Caenorhabditis elegans: one gene and its partner. The protein of the gene in region 1 purifies or fractionates together with the protein of each later gene. This does not show direct contact. Each region holds a gene or a part of one and is shown on either strand. Other genes may lie near its edges.

Region 1 (10,169 bases):
TTTAAATCCAAGAATTACAAAATTAGATTTTTCTTAAATTTCATCACATCCTGTATACGCCAATAAAATTAAAATTTGAAACTTTTTATTTTCTGTTATAAATTATTCATATAATTAAAAAAAACAAACAATTAAAAACCCACGTGGCATTTCTTGCATTTTATCTGCCTGAATCTCTTCACCACCGGTCTCTTTTCGTCGTCCGCCAACTTTTTACTCAAATGCAGAGCATCCATGTCATCTGGCCTAGTTACAGCGTAGTGCAGGAATAAGTTCAAAAAGTTTTCATGAAACTCTGGGAATGCGTCCAGGATGTATAGTTTTTTCACGTATCTAAAATATTTTTTTTTCTGTTTTGAAACAGGATTTTTTATAACTAACTTTTCATAATGTGCAATTGTTTCATTAATTTGTTGCACAATCTTATCATCCTTTTGAACAGGATTTTTTATGTTATTCATATATCTGAAAAATTCCAGATCAATTAACTAAAATGAATGTTCGTTAAAATAAAACAATTATTGAGTGCAGGCTCATTGAGACATTGTTTCTAAAGTAAAATGACAAATTCCTTTTTTACTTGAAAAAAAAACTTGATGTTTCACAATGTTGATAAAAAAAACTTTCCAATACTAAAATATTTGTCATATATTTTATGTACAGAATTAAGCAAAAAAAAATAGCATTTCTTAATTTATATAATTTTTCACAATAAAATTTTGAAAGTTTATGTTACTAAATGAAATAAGTATTACCTTGCCACTATGAAAAGCACGTCGGGCTTGTGCAATTCCACTTGTTTCTTTGAAAATTCCAAAGCCTGCTGAGAAAGCAAACGGTGGTCCGAAAAAAGCCCGTAACTGGCTGAAAATGTTTCTCAATATAAGAATACCAGAATAAGATCTATAACTCACCAATAACTGACATATATCGATAATCTGAATAGTTGTAGTTAAAATGAGCTCGGATGTGCTCGCTGAAGTTAAGCACATAGCTATTTCCAATCATCATGACTGATAAATTGCCTTTTCCTGGCTTAAAATGAAATCCTAGATGTAACTTTTAAAAAATATTTTTTCAAAAAATTACTGTTTCCGAAATTCATCAAAAATCGAGAAACAGAAAGTAAAAAGTTTTCTGATTTCTCTTAACTTTTACTCACCGCAAATCTACAATAACCTTTGAGATCATTTTTCGGAAAAGGCACATCAATGTCATTTTCGATACACTTATCCTTTTTTGGCTCCAAATCCCAAAGCGAAGTATACAAAACCAGGTTTTTGTCGATAATTTCTCGAGTTTCCGGTGTGAAATTGTTCATCCAAAATGTGTCATTTCTGACACTATATTGAAAATATGCATTACTTGCGATTAGTAGGAAAATTAATGGAAAAACTCCTTTCATGTCCAATTTCAGGTATTGTTTCTCGAAAAGATGATGGAGAAGAATTGATGAAATGAATATGATCACTGAAAGTATAATTGAATAGAATAAATCTATTGAGTAATTGAAATCTTATATTATTTTTGGGAAAAGGGTACATGTTTGAGAATAAAATAGTCAGTTGAGAAGAGAGTTTAAATTTAAAAATAAATTAGTTTTTTCAAATGCGTGAAACTTAAACTTTCAGATGGAGAGCAATTCTGAAAAAAAATCAAAGTTTTTAACATTTGATTCGAGGATGACTATTCTAAAAACATTAACTATCTTTAAACAACCAACATGAAACAGTTAAATACTTCAAATGTCAAAAAAAAACCTTTAAAAAACTAAAACTAAAACTCTATTGCCAATTTTCAAGAAACCGATAATAAATGCCATTTAAATTTGATTACTACAAGTTTTTCAAATTAACATTATGAAACGGCGAAATTTTCTAAAAGTTGTATTATCGTGAAATCTTGTGAAATTTAAATTTTGGGCTTTAAACTTTAAGAAAATTTTTCTTTAAACAGTTTCCTCAGCTGGTTAAAAAATTTCTGAATCAAGTCCGAGTGTGACGTCACACTTTTCTAAAATTTCATTTTCACAACGAGACTGTAGTCTAGTATACTGACGAAAAATCGGAATTATTTAGGAATCATGGATCTTAACATAACTGAATACTTTTGAAAATATTCATTACTTCACAGTTTGTTGAAACGGTAGATTACATATTATTTTTTCAATAAATAAATCCCAACTCACTGATACAGAAAATATAACTTCTGGCGTTTGAAATCAAGAAAATTGAAATAACTGGCCAATGAACCAGGTACAATACATATGAAATATCCCCAATATACCCGAGTGTCGGGGATTTTAGAAACTGAAATTTCTGTTTTAAATTCAGTTAAATATTATGCTATAAACTTACCTGAAAATTTTTCGATTCACATGCAATTATCACAGCAGTTGCTACAGTAACCAGTGGTCTTAGAACTAAAACTTTAATCTCCATAGTTGATAGACAAAGTGCTAGCGCTGACAAGGATACAGTAACCAGGTCATTTTTAGTCAATGGACATGTGAAAGTGCTAGGCTTCTCAGTTTTACTAGGTGTTCCATTTTCTTGAATCTTGCTCCAAAAAAGAGCAGAAAATCCTACAGAAAACTGCCACAATCTGAGGAACATGAAGTTGAACGCGAATTTGTCCAAGATCAGGGCAAAACCAATGAAACCGAAAACTGAAATTATCAAGACAGTCGCTAGCTGAAACATTAAAAAATTTTAAAAAAATTAAAAATTTGTTAAAGACGAGTTACCTTCAGATAGTCATTTTTCAGAAATTGTAGTCCAAAAAATATAATTGGAACAAAAAGATAAAATTGCATTTCCAAGGAGAGGGACCATAGATGAAGGAACCCGTTTATTGAAGACGTGGCGGCAAAAAACTGGAAAATTGGATATTTTGACAATTTCCAGCGGGGTTTGCGGCAAAATAAAGTTTTGAACACTTTTTCTGACTAAACTTTTAGAAATTATTATTTTCAATATTAAAAAAAAAACCATTAAAATGGGTTCATTTTAAAAACAAACACCAGAAAATAGGCCAAATCAGAAAATAAATTTGCAAAATAATTTTGAAATTTTTAGAAAAAAAAATTACGGTTTCTATTCTGTCATTTAAAACCAATTACCAACAGAGAGCATTCAACGTATTGTATTCAACTTTTTTATAGAGAGTTTAACAATGATTTTATAATAATTTGTGGCATAATTTCAACTCGAGGAAAGTTGAAAAGTTTTCAAATGTTGTTTCAAATAAATTTGAAAGTTTGCTTAACATTTTTCTGAATCATTAATCAATTTAAATAGCTAAAAAAAAATTATCAGAGTTCCTGCCATTTATAGACAAATCTAATGTCCTTTTGCCAAAGACTAAATAATTGAATATCAAGTTAAAAAACTATTTCGATAAATTTTCATAATTGTATCTTTTTTAATATACTTTCAGTACAAAACTTGTTGAAAATAGAGAAGATGTGTAACTATTTTAGCCGCTTCTGACCATTGTGAATAAAATTTTAAACACTGTTTCAAGTTTGTAAGAAAAGTTGTTCGATATATTTAAAATCTATTAAGGAAATTATTAGAATGAAATCATTACATGAAAAGTTATACACGCTATACTTAAATGATTCATATTTTCACCATTTCCAAAACTTGAAAAATATTAGAATGTCGTTTAATTGGAGCTGTTTTTAAAACCATTATGAAAACTCTCATAACAAAATTTTAAGTTTTTTCCAAAATCCTTTTACCTTGAAAATTGTTTTAAATATTGGATTATCAAATTGCAGTAAATGGAAGGAATGGACACTTTTTGTAAAAAAAAATTGTGGTAGAATTGAACTCACAAGGGGTATAGTTTGCACAATTTTTGAAAATTCATTTTTTTGCGAAAGAATAATTTGGAAAAGTGAATATAACATATAAAGTGGGTAAAATACACGATAAACTTATAAAAAACTAAGTTGCTGTATAATTTTTTGCTACATTTAGCTTAAAAATTGTTTTAAATATTGGATAAAAAAGTTACTGTTCCACAGAAGTGATGAATATTAAAAGCAAAATGAATAAAGCATTCGGGTTGAATGCCCGAAAATTTTGAAATTTCATTTTTTAGGAAAGAATAATTTTAAAAGTGAATATAACAGAAAAAGTGAACAAAACTACACACTTCCCATAATAAATCTGAATTTTCTTCTCTTACCTCATTAAAATAATCTGCCTGATCATGAATAATCAGCTGATTCGTCACCATGAACAGCGATGCCAACGCATATCGATTATTATTCTTCCACAAAAAATCTCCAAGACACAACTGTGTCATTACAACAATCAGGAAAACCGCCAGAAAATACATTGGTAGAATCCTACGGAATCTATAAAAATTTGGATTTACATTAGTCACCACAAATGCTGTCAACTTAACCTCATATAGTAAAACAGCAGAAAATCATGAATTTTCACTAATTTTGCCTTTGTTAAATTTTTAGCCATCAGAAAACCAGATATCACAAAAAATCTAAAAAAGAAAAATAAATATTGATTTCAAAAATTAAAAATAGTTTCAGGGCTTACATATCAACACCGAGAAATCCATTAACAAATAGGTTAGGGTTCAAGTGAAATAGTAAAACAAAGATTATAGCAATACCACGAAGGCATTGGATGTCTTCTCGCATTGTGGTAAAATCTGGAATAAATTGAATTGAAATTTATGGTAAAGAGGAAAATTTGAAAAAAGTTATGTTTCACATAGTTGCTAAAATTGTTATATATTTTTAAGTTTTAATTCGGTAAATATTGTCATTTTTGGATCGGAAAAAGGAAAGATTCAGATTTGGGTTCTGCGCCTTTACACTTGTATTTTCTTGATTAAAAATAATTAAAATTAAAACAAAGAAATCGCTAATAACCTAGATGCAAAAAATTTGCGCCAAAAATATGGTACATGGTCTCGACATGGCAAAATTCTGTTAAATGCAAAATGTGCACGGCTCTCAATTTTTTTTTAATTGTAAACAAAACGTCTAAACCAACAAAACTCAAGAAATTCAATCAAAAAAGAACACAATTTCTAAGGAGGTCAGGATTGAAAAACACATCCTTAAAAGTTTCAAAGTAGTATAAAATCATCCAGAACTATAATTTTATAAAATATCTAGTTTTAAAATTATTTAAAAATGAAGGTAATTTCAAAATTATGAAGAGAGAACATTCTGAAAGGAAGTTTTTAAAATTTTCCTATTGAAAATAACTAGTCGTGAAAAAACCAAAAAAACAAACATATTTAATTGTTACAAAAATATCACGGATTGGTGAAACATTAAATTTTTTGAAAAAAGTTAAAGTCCAAATCAGGGCTGTGCGGCTGTCGGCTGACGCAGCCAGCCGACAGCCGACTGATAGTGAAAGGTCGGGTGGCTGCGCCAGCCGACCCCCAAATTAGAGTTTTCGGCTGGCGTTTTGAAAAAAAATTAACTGACATTTTGACATATTTTGACACTAGATGCAAGTTCTACAAGTGGAAAAAATAAGAAAATTTGGTTTTTTGATGAATAAAATGATGAAATATTTTGCTATAGTATGTTTTTGTACTAAAAGTATACTAAATAACTTCGAAACTTTTTTGCAATACTTAACCAAAAACACCAGCCGGCTGGCGGCGCCAGCCGACAGCCGAAAATTTTGGGATTTTCGGCTGGTAGCACCAGCCGACAGCCGACTGATAAATTGTTCTCAGCCGACAGCCGAAAATATCAGCCAGCCGCACAGCCCTGGTCCGAATGACGGAATTAGTCTTACTATTAACAAACCAATAACATGAAACTGTGAAAAAATGAAAAAAATGTTTCAAAATTAGCAAAACAAATTATAGAAAAGGTTGACAAAAGACCTTTTTTTTCGGTTTCTTTGCAAACATGTAAAAATGTTCATTACATTGCAATAAAAAGTAAAAAGTTATTCACTACATCCATAGGATTTAGATTAGGATCCAGTAAAAACCGGTTTTATATTCTTCACTGGTTACTTATATGATCAGTTAATTTCTGTGAAAATACAAAAAATACAGAAACATGGTGAAAATTTCCAGTTTTTATTCGTTAAAACAATTTTTCAGTGGTTTTAAAGAAAAAAACACGATTGTTAACAAAATCATATAGTTTTAAAATTTTTCTTTCATTTTTTTCAGCTTGAAAATTGAATAAATATTTTTCCAATAAAAATTTTATTTCACAACGAATGATCATCGAGAAAATTGTGTACGCAAATGAACGGTATTCTTCTTCTCGTGTGTGTGTAGTTTAGCCACTCTATTCAGGTCATAATACCGGATTTTTCCTGCTTCCTGTTTTATGGTTTTGCCAAATTGATCATATGAACTTTCTTTGTATTAGGAAAATACTTGATGCGCGGAAATCTTTCCAATCTTGATTATTTTTTCCCTCGGGAAAAATAAGTTATTCGAGTAATTGGAATGGTTTTTTTAAATTACAGATGCTGCTTCAACAAAAATTTTTTTAGACATTATCTACCAAGATTGTTATTCTTCATTCTTGCTGGAGTTTTTTAAAAAGTTTTCTAACTTAAAAAATAAGAATTATGGGCTACAAAAAATAAAAGAGAAAAAATAAATGTACATTTTAAATATTACAAATTTATCTATTTGATGTTTCATCTATGTTTTCAGTTTTTTATCTGAAAAATGGTTTTGTTTTAGTAGACCTTAGACCTTCATCGTTGTAAAAACGTAGTAAAAGCGTGTAAAATGTAGCTATTATCTGCGAGAAAAGAAAAAAAATTAATAAATTGTAGAGTTTCAGAAAAAAAAATCGTGTTTTTCCACACGGGATTTGTAAAATAAAACCTAAAATTTGAATAAAACTTCCTCAAGTTTTCAAACAATATTGACAATTTCAACATCCTTTTTTAACATTAATCTTCCAAGATTGTGTTGAAGATAGAAAATCAACATTAGTTTGAAAAAAATATTCAATGCCTAAACAATAAATTGAAATTTTTTTTTAGCAAAATATGATAATAACCAAACAGATTTATAAACGGTTATAAAATTTTTTTTCAAGATTTTTAACTTCGAAAATTTGTTTAATAGTTTCGCAAATACAAATTCAAAGAAATTAGTTAGAAAATATGTTGAACAATACATAATCTACGTGAAACAGATTTTTTTTGCTCGCGCAGTAATTTTATCGATATTATTTTAGAAAAATTCAAAAGTCAATAATAATACATGTAAGGCTGTATCGTTATCGACATATTCAACTTTTTCAGGTATTCATGAAGAATGTGAAACAGTCTGAAATTCTTAAATTTTTCAAATTAAACTTTCAGATCTTCCGGCTCCTCCTTGCAAAAATGTATACAAAGCGATGATTTTAATCTAAATACCGACAATAATTGGAGCATTTCCTTGTGATTTTTAAGTGGCTGAAATGATAAAAATATTTTCAGAATTAGTTTAAAACAATGAAACAAATGTTCAATTTTTAATTTTTTTTTGTGAAGTTTTCTGTTTCTGTTCAGATAGTATCATGATTACTGTTCAAGTTTGTTCCGCTTTTCTACAGATATGACTTAATATTTGATCTCTTGATTTTTTTCACTCGTTTTTTCACTCGGGAAAAAATAATTGATTCGAGTAACTGAAATAATTTTTTTAAATTACAGATACTGTTTCCTTTTTTAACATTAATCGTCCAAGATTGTTATTAGTCGTCTTACTAGGGACTCTTTTTTGGTCACAAGAGAGTTATGGGTTGAATGATATATTTTCTGAAAGCTAATGCAATGAAAATATCGAATTCAAAATAAACTATTGCCCAAATTGATGCTAAGACAATTTTTTTACTCCGAATGCGTATTTAAGTTAGTCTGGTAGATGTTGACTTTTTAAATTTTAAAAACATAAATTCCAGGCTACAAAAAATGCAAGAAAAAATAAAATAAGCAGTTTACAAATTACAAATTTATAACAACAACTTAATTTTTCATTTATGTTTTAAGTGTGGTTTCTGAAAAATAGTTTTGTTTCAGTATACCTTTATAGTTGCTAAAACTTTGTGTTTGAGAAGGCTGTAATTTTATATCAGCTAAAAAAAGAAAATTTTAATAAATGTCGTGCTTTTCTACAGGGAATGTTTAAAACAAAACCTAAATTTTGAATAAAATTTCCGCAAGTTTTGAAACAATATTTAAAATTAATTTTAAAATCAATTTCGGTGTTGATGATAAAAAAATCAATCTAATAATTTGAAAAAGTATTCAACGCTTAAATTATAAATGTGAAACAGTATTTAGTAAACTATAATGGACCTTCAAAGAAAAAAGATGTTTTCTGAATTTTTAACGTCATTTTATAGTTTTATGTTTTTCACATAATTTTCCATTTGACAATTACCAAAACATACCTAAAACGAGTCAAGCCGAAAACAGCTTACAAAACGCGTTAAAACATTTTGAAAATTTGTTTAACAGATAGTTTTGAAATAAAAAATCGAACATATTGGTTAGAAAAATTGTTGAACAAGGAATAATCCACGTGAAACAGTTTGTTTTTGTTAGCGCAGTGATTTAATTCGTATTCTTCTAGGAACCTTTGTATCAATACATTCAACTTTTTCAGATATTCATGAAGAATGCGAAACAGTCTGAAATTTTTTAATTTTTCAAATTGAACTTCCAGTTCTTCCGGCTCCTCCTTGCAAAAATTTATACAAAGTGATGATTTAAATCCAAATAGCGACAAAAATTGGACCATTTCCATGAGATTTTTGAGTTGTTGAAATGATGAAAATATTTTCAGAATCAGTTTAAAACTATGAAACAAATGTACAATTTTTAATTTTTTCAGAGTTGGGAAGTTTTCTGTTTCTGTTCAGATATTATGATTACTTTTCAAGTTTGTTTCATTTTTCTCAATTGTTCAATTTCAGTTCTATTGCATCTTCTCTTTATGTTTTAATAACAATAATATTTTAAAGTAAACTGAATGTATCAATGTTTCCAATCGCAAGTGTTTCTGATTTATTTTTTTTTAATTTCAAAAACGTGTGCATAATATTACAAAAGTTTTTTATTTGTGAAAATATAAAATTGTCTTTTGTTTTTTTAAAATTTCATTGTGAGGCTTACAAAAACTATTCGAAACATTTTTTTAAAATTTGTTTTTACTACTTTTTACTACTACATTGAGAACTCAATCTGTTAACTTATTGGATATCTATGAAAGAGCTGAAACGGTTAAATGATTTTTCACGTTTGACTCAAACTTCTAATTTGCTAAAACTTGTTAATTTCCAGTTTTATGTGCAAAAAACTTTTGAAACTGCTCAAAATATTTCCTGTTTCAAAAAATTGTTTTTAGCCTTACTGGAAATAATGAATATTCCGAAATAATGGATATAAAGGATTTCAGAACAACATTTTGAAACACTGAACTTTTTTTCGTTTCGGGATTTTTTAAATTACCGACAACCCCGCCACAATTTTTGTGAGTGAAAAAAAATAAAAAATAAAATATCGAAAAATTAAACTGAAAATTGTAAAATTATCATATGTTCTGCAAATTTTGAAAAAAAACGACAACTTGAAATTTTCCGAAAAGTTTTTTATTTCTGTCTTCTTGTTCTCACTAGTTCGATCTACACGAGCAATGAAATAAATTGTTTTGCATAAATTATGTAGGCATGCTGAAACAGTCTTTTTTTTAGAAACTCGAATAAAAATTATGTTCTACCAAACAACATTTAGATTCAAGTATATAATAATGATATTTGTATTTTAGTATAAAAACGAAGTTAATACTTTCATTGTTTTAGCAATCTGAAAAAAGTGGGTCTGAAAATATATCTAAAACTCGGAAAAAAATAATTGGTTTCAGTTTCATGTGAATTTCCATTTCTCTTTTCTGCAGGATTTTTTTTGAGTTGGAATTCAATTTTTCGTTTCTAGCGTTATATTATGTCTCCAAAATCCATAATAATAATGATAAATTTTAGAATTTTTCAAAAAATTCTGAAATAGTGATTTTTTTTTGAAAACGAGAGAAAATTTTCTGGTTTTAACGATCAACATCTGGATTCAAGTAGAAAAGAGTGTTCCACTCGAAAATTATTTGAATCCACACTAACACTAAAATTCTCTCTGCAGGGAGTGCCA
Region 2 (10,169 bases), on another chromosome or scaffold:
GTTTTGCTAGTTATTAACAATCAAGATTTATCTACGAGAATTTTCGTATTTTTTTGAATTTTTTATCTTCCAGGAAGTGTGAAATTTCAGAAAAATTGGAATTTTTGAATACTTTCGAATTCTTGAAACCAAAAAAAACTGAAACTTTGATTTTGAAAGACTTGTTTTTAATTTCCGAATATTTGGGGTTTTCAGATATTTTAAATAAATTTTGTAAAACTTTAATCTTTTGCGAATTTTCAAAAAAATAAAAAAGGTCTTACCTATCCTCAAAACTCAAATTCCCGATCACCATTCTCTTCGCCACTTCTGGGAGCATCGGCCATTGCTCGAATCTTGTGGGTCCTTTTTTTGCACGGACCGCTCGGTACGCCGGGTCCTTTACGGATTTTCTTCGTTGGGTCATCACTTTTGATAATTTAAAACTAAAAAAATAAAATTTAAAGATTATTTAAAAAGAATAAGAGTAAAATAAATAAAAAACGCGAAAAATCAAATCGATCTGGGGACAGAATAGGGAATATGCAAGAACATGCAAGAAATGGAGACCAAGGGAGAATGAGAGGGGTGGAGGGTGTGAGAGAAAGAAAGGAACTCTTTGGGAACACGGGGAGGCAAACTTTACGTACATACACTAATTTCTACAGTAGTCGCATTTTTAGAATGGATTTATCTCGAAAACGGCTCAAATTTTTTGGAAGTGATGCATATGAAAAATGTTCTACAGAAAATTCTCTATTTAATGACACCAATGAATTTTTTGTTGATACCCTCTCACCAGTGGTATGCTCATTGAGCAGTAGAGCGCACTTTCTCGGACGTACCGTTTGCCTCCCCGTGGGAAGAGAAGAGGTCACCAGCCGTATGGTCTATGAATAGCCGAGCCAACTAGACAGACTGCACGCGGGGTCGTTTCGGTTTGATCTACAAAAATGCGCAAATTTGTAGCCCATAAAAATGACGTCAGCAAGTTCTTACCAATGAGAAATCAGTTGAGAACTCTGCGTCTCAACTCCCGCATTTTTTGTAGATCGACGCAGATCAAACCGAAAGGGGACACTCTGATACCACATGAGACGACTGTTCATAATTTCAAATCATACAATTAGTGGTTCTCATAATTTTTCGGGTTTGCAAGTTTTTACTTTGAATTGTAAAAATCAAGTACAGGGAACAGTTAAATTAAAACCAATTTAGTTTTAAAAAATTTAGTTTAAAAATTAAAAATAACATTCCTCCAAATTATCATATACATGAATCGCAGAAAGAGAAGAAAATTTAATGAAATACATTAAAATTGGAACACCGTGTAAACTCCCTTTTCTTGGGAGGTTAGATGAGCAGGTGTGTTACTGTAAGCGGCGAATCGAACTATCTCTATTTGTTGTGTAGACAAAGTTGAACATAATTCAGGGGTACGTGATGATTTGTGTGTAAATTCAGCAACTCTCTGATTTCACATACATGCACATTTCTAGCCCCGACGTCAGTAATCTCCGGGGAGACTTCCCACACATACCCTTGCACCTTTTGGCTCCTGTTGCCCACGGCGCCACCGTCAAGCCCTCCTCTCATTTGTACCTTGTCTGCGTTTATAGCTTCTTTATTCTTCTGTTTGTTACTACTCGCAGCTTCTGCTTCGATAAGCTGAAACTGAGAGAAATGTCCGATTTCTTCAAAATCGAATATAAGAAGGCGAATGAAGGCCCTCCACTGATCTTGAACACATACAAACGGAAATTCACGAATGCTCTCAACGTATATGTGCACAGTCTAAGAAAAACTGCTCGGCAACTGCTCGTTCAGGACAATATACAAGTTCAGTTGGATTGTGCGGACTATCAACTCATTGAGTGCATTATTAATGTAAGTATTGGAAAAAATCAATGTTAGGAATTTTAGAAATTACTGTTTAGTCAGTAATAAGGGTACTGCCAAAATAGCCAGGGACTCTAACTTTTCTCCTGTCTCGTTGAAACGGGAGTCTTGACAGGGTCCATCCACTAAAGTAGTGAGCTTCTGAGAATTTGCCCATTTTCCGTTTAGTGCTATGTCACAGGTCACAAACCACAAAATTGACGGATATAAAAAATTAGCCTAACATATAATTAGTATATCTGAATGTAAGAAGATGAAGAAAACCATGAAAATTTCAGCTTCGTCGTCACGAAACCCCTCTCCTAACATCCACGTTCAACATCAACGTTCTTGAAAAAATGGACTTAAGCCCATTTATGAATAAAACCGACACCGTCCAAACTAACACGAACAAGGTTTTTCTTCACATTCCATTTATGAAAGGCAACAAACACAATCTGGAACACATTATGATCGTTCGACTGACCCCGTGGCATATCAGCGGAAAAGTCATCAAAACTCCGAAAACCATCGAAGAGCTCAGATTGGCGTTGCACAATTCATTCGAGATTTGAAGTTTTTTATGTGATGATTTTGTTGAGTCAGTAATTAGCTGTTCTTTTTTATTGGTTGCTATTAGTTTCAAGTGTTTGTTGATCCTATGTCTACCTCACATAGAATCACCTCAAATTCATCAATAAAGTCGTCAGTTTAAAAATAGATGTACGAATATTCTATGTTTAATTAAGTTGATACAAGAAAAAACTTTTTGTGTCAGTTTATAGTTTGTAAATATGAAATTTGATCTCGAGTGAAATGGGGATATTTCTATAAATCAGCAGCCGACATTGAGCAAGGACTTTGAAAACGTGTTGTTAGTAAAGAAGTACAATTAACGGTTACGGTCAAAATCCTTCAAAATACAATCACGACGGCAGATGGATCCATATAGAACACGGCGCCACATACCAACCACCAGAAGTTTGTTCCGATCTTCCATGTCGAAGAGTTGAACGTGTTCAAAGCTGACAAAAAATTGGGTTAGTGAGATTTATTTAACACTCAAAATAACTTTTAAGCTTCGCTAATTGAAAGTTATCTCGAAAAAAGTGAAAAAAATTAAGAAAAAGGTTTAAACCTCACCAAGTAATTTCTGCAATCTCTTCCTCGTTTTTTGGCTGAACATCAAACAAGCGAACAATTTTCCCACTCTTTACATAATTATCCACGAAAATTTTGAAAAACGAGTTAATAGGAAGTTGTGGTCTCGAGCGGAAATTCTGAAAATATTCAAGAATTTTATTGAGTGGTTTGAGTGGTCTCCTGTTTTAACCTTTATAATTTCCCAAGCATCCTCGGGCTCCAAATCACAAAGCGACAACTCTAACCGTTCGGCATGTTGCAGGAAATCATAGTTAACTTTGAAAGATGAATCGAATTTTAATAGTTGTTGCTCCGACAGAACCCTTGCTTCCAATTTTATGTACTTGCACATTTTGAATTGCTCCAGTTCAACTAATTTCTCAAAAATGGCACCGGTTACACAATCCACGTAGATTTTCTCCAGATAACCTTCCTTGAAAAGTGCCAAAATTTGCGCAGCCCAACTGGAATTTTCAGCATTTTTTCGAAACATTATCTCTTTCCCCTTAATTTTTACTTCTCGAGTTTCAAATTCCGAGATTAAAGTTGAAAACACTTGTTCGGGAGTTTCAGGCATATAAATAATCACTTTTTTGGCAGTTGTGCTTGGATTTTCGAAAATTCGACAAAGTTCGTGAACCGCCCGTGTTCCGTGAAATGTGAGACTTTCTATAGGGATAGTATTGATTTGTAGGCAGACTTCCAATTCTGGAGAAAAATAGAAATACACAAATTTTAGAATAAAACCTACTTTTTTTAAGCTCCACGTAGTCAAACGAATTTGGAATTTTGTCTGCTAATCTCATTTCCATTTTTGCGCATTGTCGAATTTTGCATCTATGCATGTAAATTATAACTGTTAACTTTGTAGTTTGTAGTCTACGACGTCAAAAAAATTTTTTTGGACAAAAAACCTTAGAAACTCAAATTTTGGGAAACTCCGAATTTCTGATAGTGAGAAATTTTTTTGCTAGAATTTTTTTAGTGCAAAATTGAAATTTTGTGATAAAATTTTGGCAGGTAATACAATTGTTTTCAGAAAATAAACTAGTTATTTTTGACAGGTTTGACATATTGATCTAGTTGTGTCCTACCATTTACCCATAGTCCACCTGCTCATGTATCATCTCACCTTTTCCCGTATTGTTACGAGTGAGCCCTGTGTGGCAACAGTCACTCTTTGTATCGCCAACCGCCTAAAAGTTTTCACACTTTTCTCCCTTTCTCACTTATTTATTGAACCCCAATGTTTTACTTTTTCAAAAAAAAAACGTACTATTAGTGTGATGTTTTAAATTTTCAGAGTCTAAAAAAATTTGGTGCAAAACTTTAATTGAAACATTTTTGAAAATTGTGGCAGGAAGAATTTTCAATTTTCAGAAAATATAAAATGAACCAGTTATAATTTTTTGAAACTACCTCATGATTCTAGTAAATCGGTAAAAAACCAAAATTTTTCAAGAAAGATTTTTTAAGCACTTTTCAGAATTTTCTAAAAATACGTACTTTAATTCTAAGTTTTTTAGTTTTGAATTCTCACCGCAATCGAATTTCTTCCGAAAGTTATTTTAATTTTCCAATGCTTAAAATTAAACTAACCTCTCTCCAAAAGTCAAATATTTCATTACTTCCAACTTCATGTCCTCCGGCAGTTCAGGCCATTTTTCGAAATTTCTCATTTTCTAATAAATTGCTGTACAAAATAAAATCCAATAATTCTTGCCAAGAAAAAAAAAACGATACAGAACCATTATTTTTCACATTTGCATTATTTCGCAATATGTTTTCTTTTTTGTCTATTTCTCTAACCCTCTCGTTTTCCTTGCCTGCCTCGAATGTGACAAATATTTTATGGTTTTGACTTTTTTCATTTTTTTTTGCTGAAAAATTGACGTGTTTTTTTGAATTGAATCATCGCTTTCGTTTTAATGCAAATTTTGCAATATTTCTCAATATTTTTCTTTTTATTTCAGATTCTCAAGAATTGGCTATGAAGAACAAACCGGATTTACCTTTGCACACAAAATGCGACAAAATGAGCAAAAAGAAAAATCTCAAAAACAGAAAATTCAGTCAATGGCAAAAATTGCCTGAGGATATTATGAGAGAAGTACTGAAACAGCTGGATTTTGAAGATAGGTACGAAAAAATTTTCTGACTGTTCTAATAATGAAGTTTAAAGAAAACCTTTAAAATAAACTCTCAACAAAAAAAATCAGCTGCGGTGGAGCATTTTGGTCCTGAAAAAAAGTCGAGCGGAGTTTTTGCAAATTTTTGTTGATTTGGAAACTGTCTAGGTTAGACAAAATTCTGAAAGCCCTTTGAAAATTTTTATTTTTTCTATGTATCTGAAAACTTTTGGTTGAAAAATAGAATATCCCGCCAAACATTTTTTAGAAAATTTGAAGTTCCCGTCGAAACATTTTCTTTCAAAAAAAAAACTAGAGTTTCTCTTGTTTCAGTGAAAAAGTATTTTCAAAAATGTTTTCTGTATTTCAGACTATAATTTTAGAATGAGCTCTCTCAAAAAAACGTGCAAACCAAAAAACACCAATAATTTCCAGAAGCATCATCCGTCAATGTTCACGCACAGAAATGATTTTGGCTGACAAAATTCCAGAAAACTTGAACAGTATCAATTTTCTTGAAGGTTCGTGTCCTTCTACAATTTTTGGAGAAAAAAACATTCATTCAGGATCCGACCCAACCAATAAGAAATATTATATCTTCCTGGACATTGACAATATTCCTAACAAAAAACTTAAAAATTTCAATCAAGAAACTAGGATGGCCGTTGGAGTCGGGGCAGTTGAGACTTTCTGTCGAATTTTCCGTAACAAAAACTCAAATGCAAAACGAGTTGTGTTCGAATTCCCATTCCGATCGACTCATCGTTCAATTATGCCACTTTTGATTTCAGAACTTGAAAAATCCGAAATTATTATCAAAGCTCGAGAAATCGCAATAGACTGCAATGAATCTACGTCGAAATGGATTCAAAAGCTCCTAAGCCGCTTCGAAATGGAATACCTAGAAAAAATCACAATGAAATCGCTGAGTGGGAAGGTTTTTGACAAACTGAAAATTACCGATCATTTCAAGAGAGCTAAATCCTTGGATCTTCACGCCAAGAAGAATCCGAGGGGGTACACGCCTGGGGTAGATCAAACTGTCGTAGTGGACTATGCCATGCTGAGCCACGTGGAGAAATACATGCTCACAGTGCATCAGCTGGTACCGGAAGATGCTTGGAAAGTGATCAAGGTGAGACAAGAAGGTAGCTGTCCAAACCTTACCAGGTCCACGTAGAGATCCGCATTTAGGCACTTGTCCGAACAAGTAGGCCGTAGCCCATAGTTAATTTGAACCCTTGCCTAATACTTCTTTTACAACAATAAAGATTAAATCGTGGGTCGCTCGGTGCTGTACCAACTTTATTCTCAATCTACATACATAGTCATCACATCAAATTTTTAGAACTTCCGCTCGAGACCCAACCTACCCATTGGCTCGTTTTTCAACATTGAGGTTGCTGTAATCATTGATCACTTGCAAGTTTTGCGCCAATTCGATGTTCAGCCAAAGCATCAGCCTCCTACAATTGCCGCATTACAATTGAGGTGAGTTTTAGAGGAACATTTTCGATAGTTTCCCATTGAAACTAAATATAAATATTTCTACTTCAGCTACCCAGCCTACACTTATCACGTGCAGTTCTTCGATGTAGAGGACTCCAACAATATTCTCGTTGTCTCAATCAGCATATTTGATGTGACTGGATCAATTTGCAGCCGGGATCATATTTGGGAAACGTTTCGAACGAAATTTTAGTAAATTTTAATTATAAGCACAAATTGTTATCAATGAATTATTTTATATCACAGAATAGTTTTTAACTGCTTGTCGGACACCAGGCACAAGATGTGCGTAACGGGTACTAGGGTACTAGGGTACTTGGGTACTAGGGTACTATGTAGAGTACTAGGGTACTAGGGTAATGGGATACTAGGGGACTATTGTACTGGGGTACTGGGGTACTGGGGTACTGGGGTACTAGGGTACTTGTGTACTACGGTACTACTCCTGTTTCATTGACTGATTTGTTCCAAACTTGATTAGGTTTCTGTACGACTCGTTTGAAACTAATTCCAAATACTTCCAAAGTCGCATTTCGATAAGGTGCGTGCACGGTCAGCATAACAAACGTTGATAGACCTCCATGAAGTGCCATTGTAAATACAGCAAGATTATTGGCTTCTAAAAGGCTTCATTACTCTGCAAACTTTACGAGGCTTACCTTGATTGTAATAACCGACGACAACAACTACAACGCAATAACCGGCTGGAATACAAATAGCGGAAATTGGAATGGCTACTTGTAAGCACATTGCGAAGAACAACTGTTTTTGCAGACGAGTTGTGGCTCGCGATTTTGATTTCAGCGTGAAAAGATACCAAAATATACTTAAGATGAAAAATGCGCCCTGTGGGAGAATAACAAGAGCCGCGATTCCGAGGCTCAAGTAGAGCGGACCAGATTCAGTGATTAATAGAAAAAAATCGGGATGATTTATTTTTTCTTCTGGAATGCAGGGATTTGTCTGAAACTCAATACCTAATTGTTTAATTGGGTCCAAAGATTTCAATGCTAGAGGACTAAACTAACCTCCATAATCATTAGTTTTCCAAGATTTTGATCGGGAATATTTAAAAAGCAAGGTAGAATGAACGTTATTGAAATAATATAGTGAATAGCAATGTATACAACGTACTTCCAGCCACGTTTTCTATCTACACCTGGATTTCTGATTAACTTGTGATATCGCTCCTCGAAGAACATAAGAATCGCCATTCCAATCACTGAATTTTAATTTTTAAAAAATGGTTTTCTGTTTACACAACCAGAATAAACCATACCTCCAATAAGGGAAACCCCTACGTAGGCTTGAAAAACAGTTGAAACCCCAAGCATCGTTAGTACTCCAAGTGGATATACGGCGCAGGCAGGTAAAAGGAATACTGGAATTTCTAGGCAACTCATATAAATGTCTAATAAGGCACCCGCCAAGTGAAGAACCAGCATATTCGTTCTTACATTTTTCATATTGTTTGGAGTCTTTGCTATGATAATATAAGCACCGAAGATATGAATAGGAACCTCGAACGAGGTAAGGATGTGAAGAGCATTTGCATGATATGTGTCTTTATCAGATAATATTGGAGTTTTGCTACACATTCGACAAGTGAAATTAGCAAAGGGAAGTTGAAATGAAATGAGAATGTTTTTGGCGTTGCATTCCAATTAATTTTGTTAATTAATTTTGCTGATTTATGCTGTCAGGCTTCTCTGGCATTTATTTGAAAAAAAAGAACGGCAAAAAACACAACATACCTAAAATGCTCATTGATAAGGTTTAAAATAAAGTATTGGTCCACAGAAAACCATCAAATTCAGAAATTTCAAGAATTAGTAAACACTCTATTTGCTATGTAACTCTAAAACGACTCTGTTTTTCCGCGATTTATATTTATTAATTATGAATCATATTCGTGTTTCCTGATCACCTTAACAATAATCATTTCTTATCAAGACAAAACTCCAGACATTAAAATCACATCACAATTTCCTTATCACCGATAAGGCTCTTTCCAGGTGACTCACTTGTTTAGGAATTCACTACAAACATAAAATAAAGTGTACTTACATATATTTCGTAACCCCAAACCTAGGAAAAGGAAATTGGAAAAAGTAGGCGTGTCCTATTAGTGCTCAGGGTGGTGAATATATATTAAAACGAAGCCAAGTGTTGGAGATTTGGAAAATGTCAGTTAACATCGGTGCAGTTTTGATGATTTTCGTGTATGCTATCAATTTTTATCTGTTATTTCAAGGTTTTGATTTTAAAAGCAGTTTTAGGAGTGAAGGTAAGGGATTTTTCGTTTTGATAACTTCTTTTTTAAATCAATTTCATGAGTTAATCCAACTTGGTAATTTTAACAACTGTGTAATTTTCTTGATTTCAGAAACTCTAATTGATTCGTATAATGGTAGTATTCAAGAAAATGGAAAACGCATTATGTTCCAAGGCTTATCACTTCGATCTTGATTTTAAATGTTTTGTTTTTTATCCTTTTAAGATGTGTGATCTCATTTTTCATTTTTTATCTGTTAATTGATAATAAATGTGATTCAAATTGTATTAAAAAGTTTTTTCAAGTAGTCTTTCTTTCCTAAAGCTAAGGGGGGTTGCTTCCCAAATTTTTGTTTAAATTAATGAAAATCTTATGAGGAACAAATCTTATTCTCTATGACTACATTAAGCAAACTCAGCAGATTAGCTCTTTGCTTTGCTGCCCAACGATGCACTGATGGGTCTCTGAGTCTTCAAAATGTTGGCCAAATTAATAGGTTTCCCTGGCCAGACGCAGATATTACGGACATAGTATAACATACTCAGAGGTGCGCAATATTCTTGTGTTGCCAATATTATCATCGTTTTGGTTACCATGGTATTATTTGGGGATCTAGCTTCAGAGGGAAAGAGTGAAATGAGCTAATTGAAAAACGGCATCATCAAACCCTGAAATTAACCGGAATACATATGTCATGCCTGGATGTCCCACTACGATTTGATCTACAAAAAATGCGGCAATTTTTTCCCAAAAAAATGTGACGTAAGCACCATGTGAAAGTTGAGAACTCTGCGTCCCAATTCCTGCAATTTTTGTAGATCTAAATAGATCAAACCGAAATGGAACACTCGGACACCACGTGTATACAGGGAGTTTACTGTAAATTAAATACTTTAACTGGAATTTTTGGAACTAGACTAGTCTAAGAAAGGGTGCTTTCTTGGTGAGGCCTCTGTTATGACGAACTCTGTAATTTTTTCTACTACGAAGGTTCTCCGATGCCTTTCCTGCAATTACTGGAACTAGGAGGAGGCATCTCCAGCTTTGGGCTCAAGCATCACGGGTTGTCAAGGAAACATCTGAAACATCCAAAAATTTATTTATTTTTTTCACATACTACACAACTCCTTTTTCGAACTTCAATGAATATATTAGATGAAAGACGCAGAGATAACTGAGAAATTAAAACAACACTGGACAGATGAGGTTGCTAGGAGAACAAAAGGGCGTGAGATAACTCACACACGAAACTGAAG

What was found.
Region 2: the proteins of oac-56 (region 1) and fbxa-150 fractionate together in Caenorhabditis elegans (co-fractionation; one large-scale study listed by BioGRID). This does not show direct contact.

Annotation. Positions count from the first base shown.
Region 1 is NC_003282.8:14,346,059-14,356,227, forward strand, and holds the start of oac-56 (Acyltransferase), read right to left. Parts: upstream 4,694-10,169; 5' UTR 4,673-4,693; coding exon 4,569-4,672; intron 4,513-4,568; coding exon 4,420-4,512; intron 4,391-4,419; exon of another isoform or gene 4,370-4,390; coding exon 4,198-4,369; intron 3,702-4,197; exon of another isoform or gene 3,681-3,701; intron 3,584-3,680; exon of another isoform or gene 3,563-3,583; intron 3,460-3,562; exon of another isoform or gene 3,439-3,459; intron 3,305-3,438; exon of another isoform or gene 3,284-3,304; intron 3,156-3,283; exon of another isoform or gene 3,135-3,155; intron 2,876-3,134; coding exon 2,747-2,875; intron 2,694-2,746; coding exon 2,358-2,693; intron 2,310-2,357; coding exon 2,189-2,309; intron 2,151-2,188; exon of another isoform or gene 2,130-2,150; intron 2,100-2,129; exon of another isoform or gene 2,079-2,099; intron 1,687-2,078; exon of another isoform or gene 1,666-1,686; intron 1,471-1,665; coding exon 1,163-1,470; intron 1,156-1,162; exon of another isoform or gene 1,134-1,155; intron 1,036-1,133; coding exon 915-1,035; intron 865-914; coding exon 756-864; intron 663-755; exon of another isoform or gene 642-662; and 6 more.
Region 2 is NC_003283.11:20,517,631-20,527,799, forward strand, and holds fbxa-150 (F-box domain-containing protein), read left to right. Parts: upstream 1-4,967; 5' UTR 4,968-4,990; coding exon 4,991-5,139; intron 5,140-5,564; coding exon 5,565-5,650; intron 5,651-5,695; coding exon 5,696-6,264; intron 6,265-6,477; coding exon 6,478-6,620; intron 6,621-6,686; coding exon 6,687-6,831; 3' UTR 6,832-6,882; downstream 6,883-10,169. Other genes in the region: Y38H6C.25 (FTH domain-containing protein), read left to right, coding at 1,663-1,866, 2,157-2,432; Y38H6C.9 (DUF38 domain-containing protein), read right to left, coding at 2,750-2,882, 3,001-3,137, 3,191-3,708, 3,752-3,837, 4,600-4,640; srh-166 (Serpentine Receptor, class H), read right to left, coding at 7,070-7,257, 7,298-7,601, 7,667-7,860, 7,918-8,236; Y38H6C.24 (Transposase), read left to right, coding at 8,823-8,925, 9,025-9,107.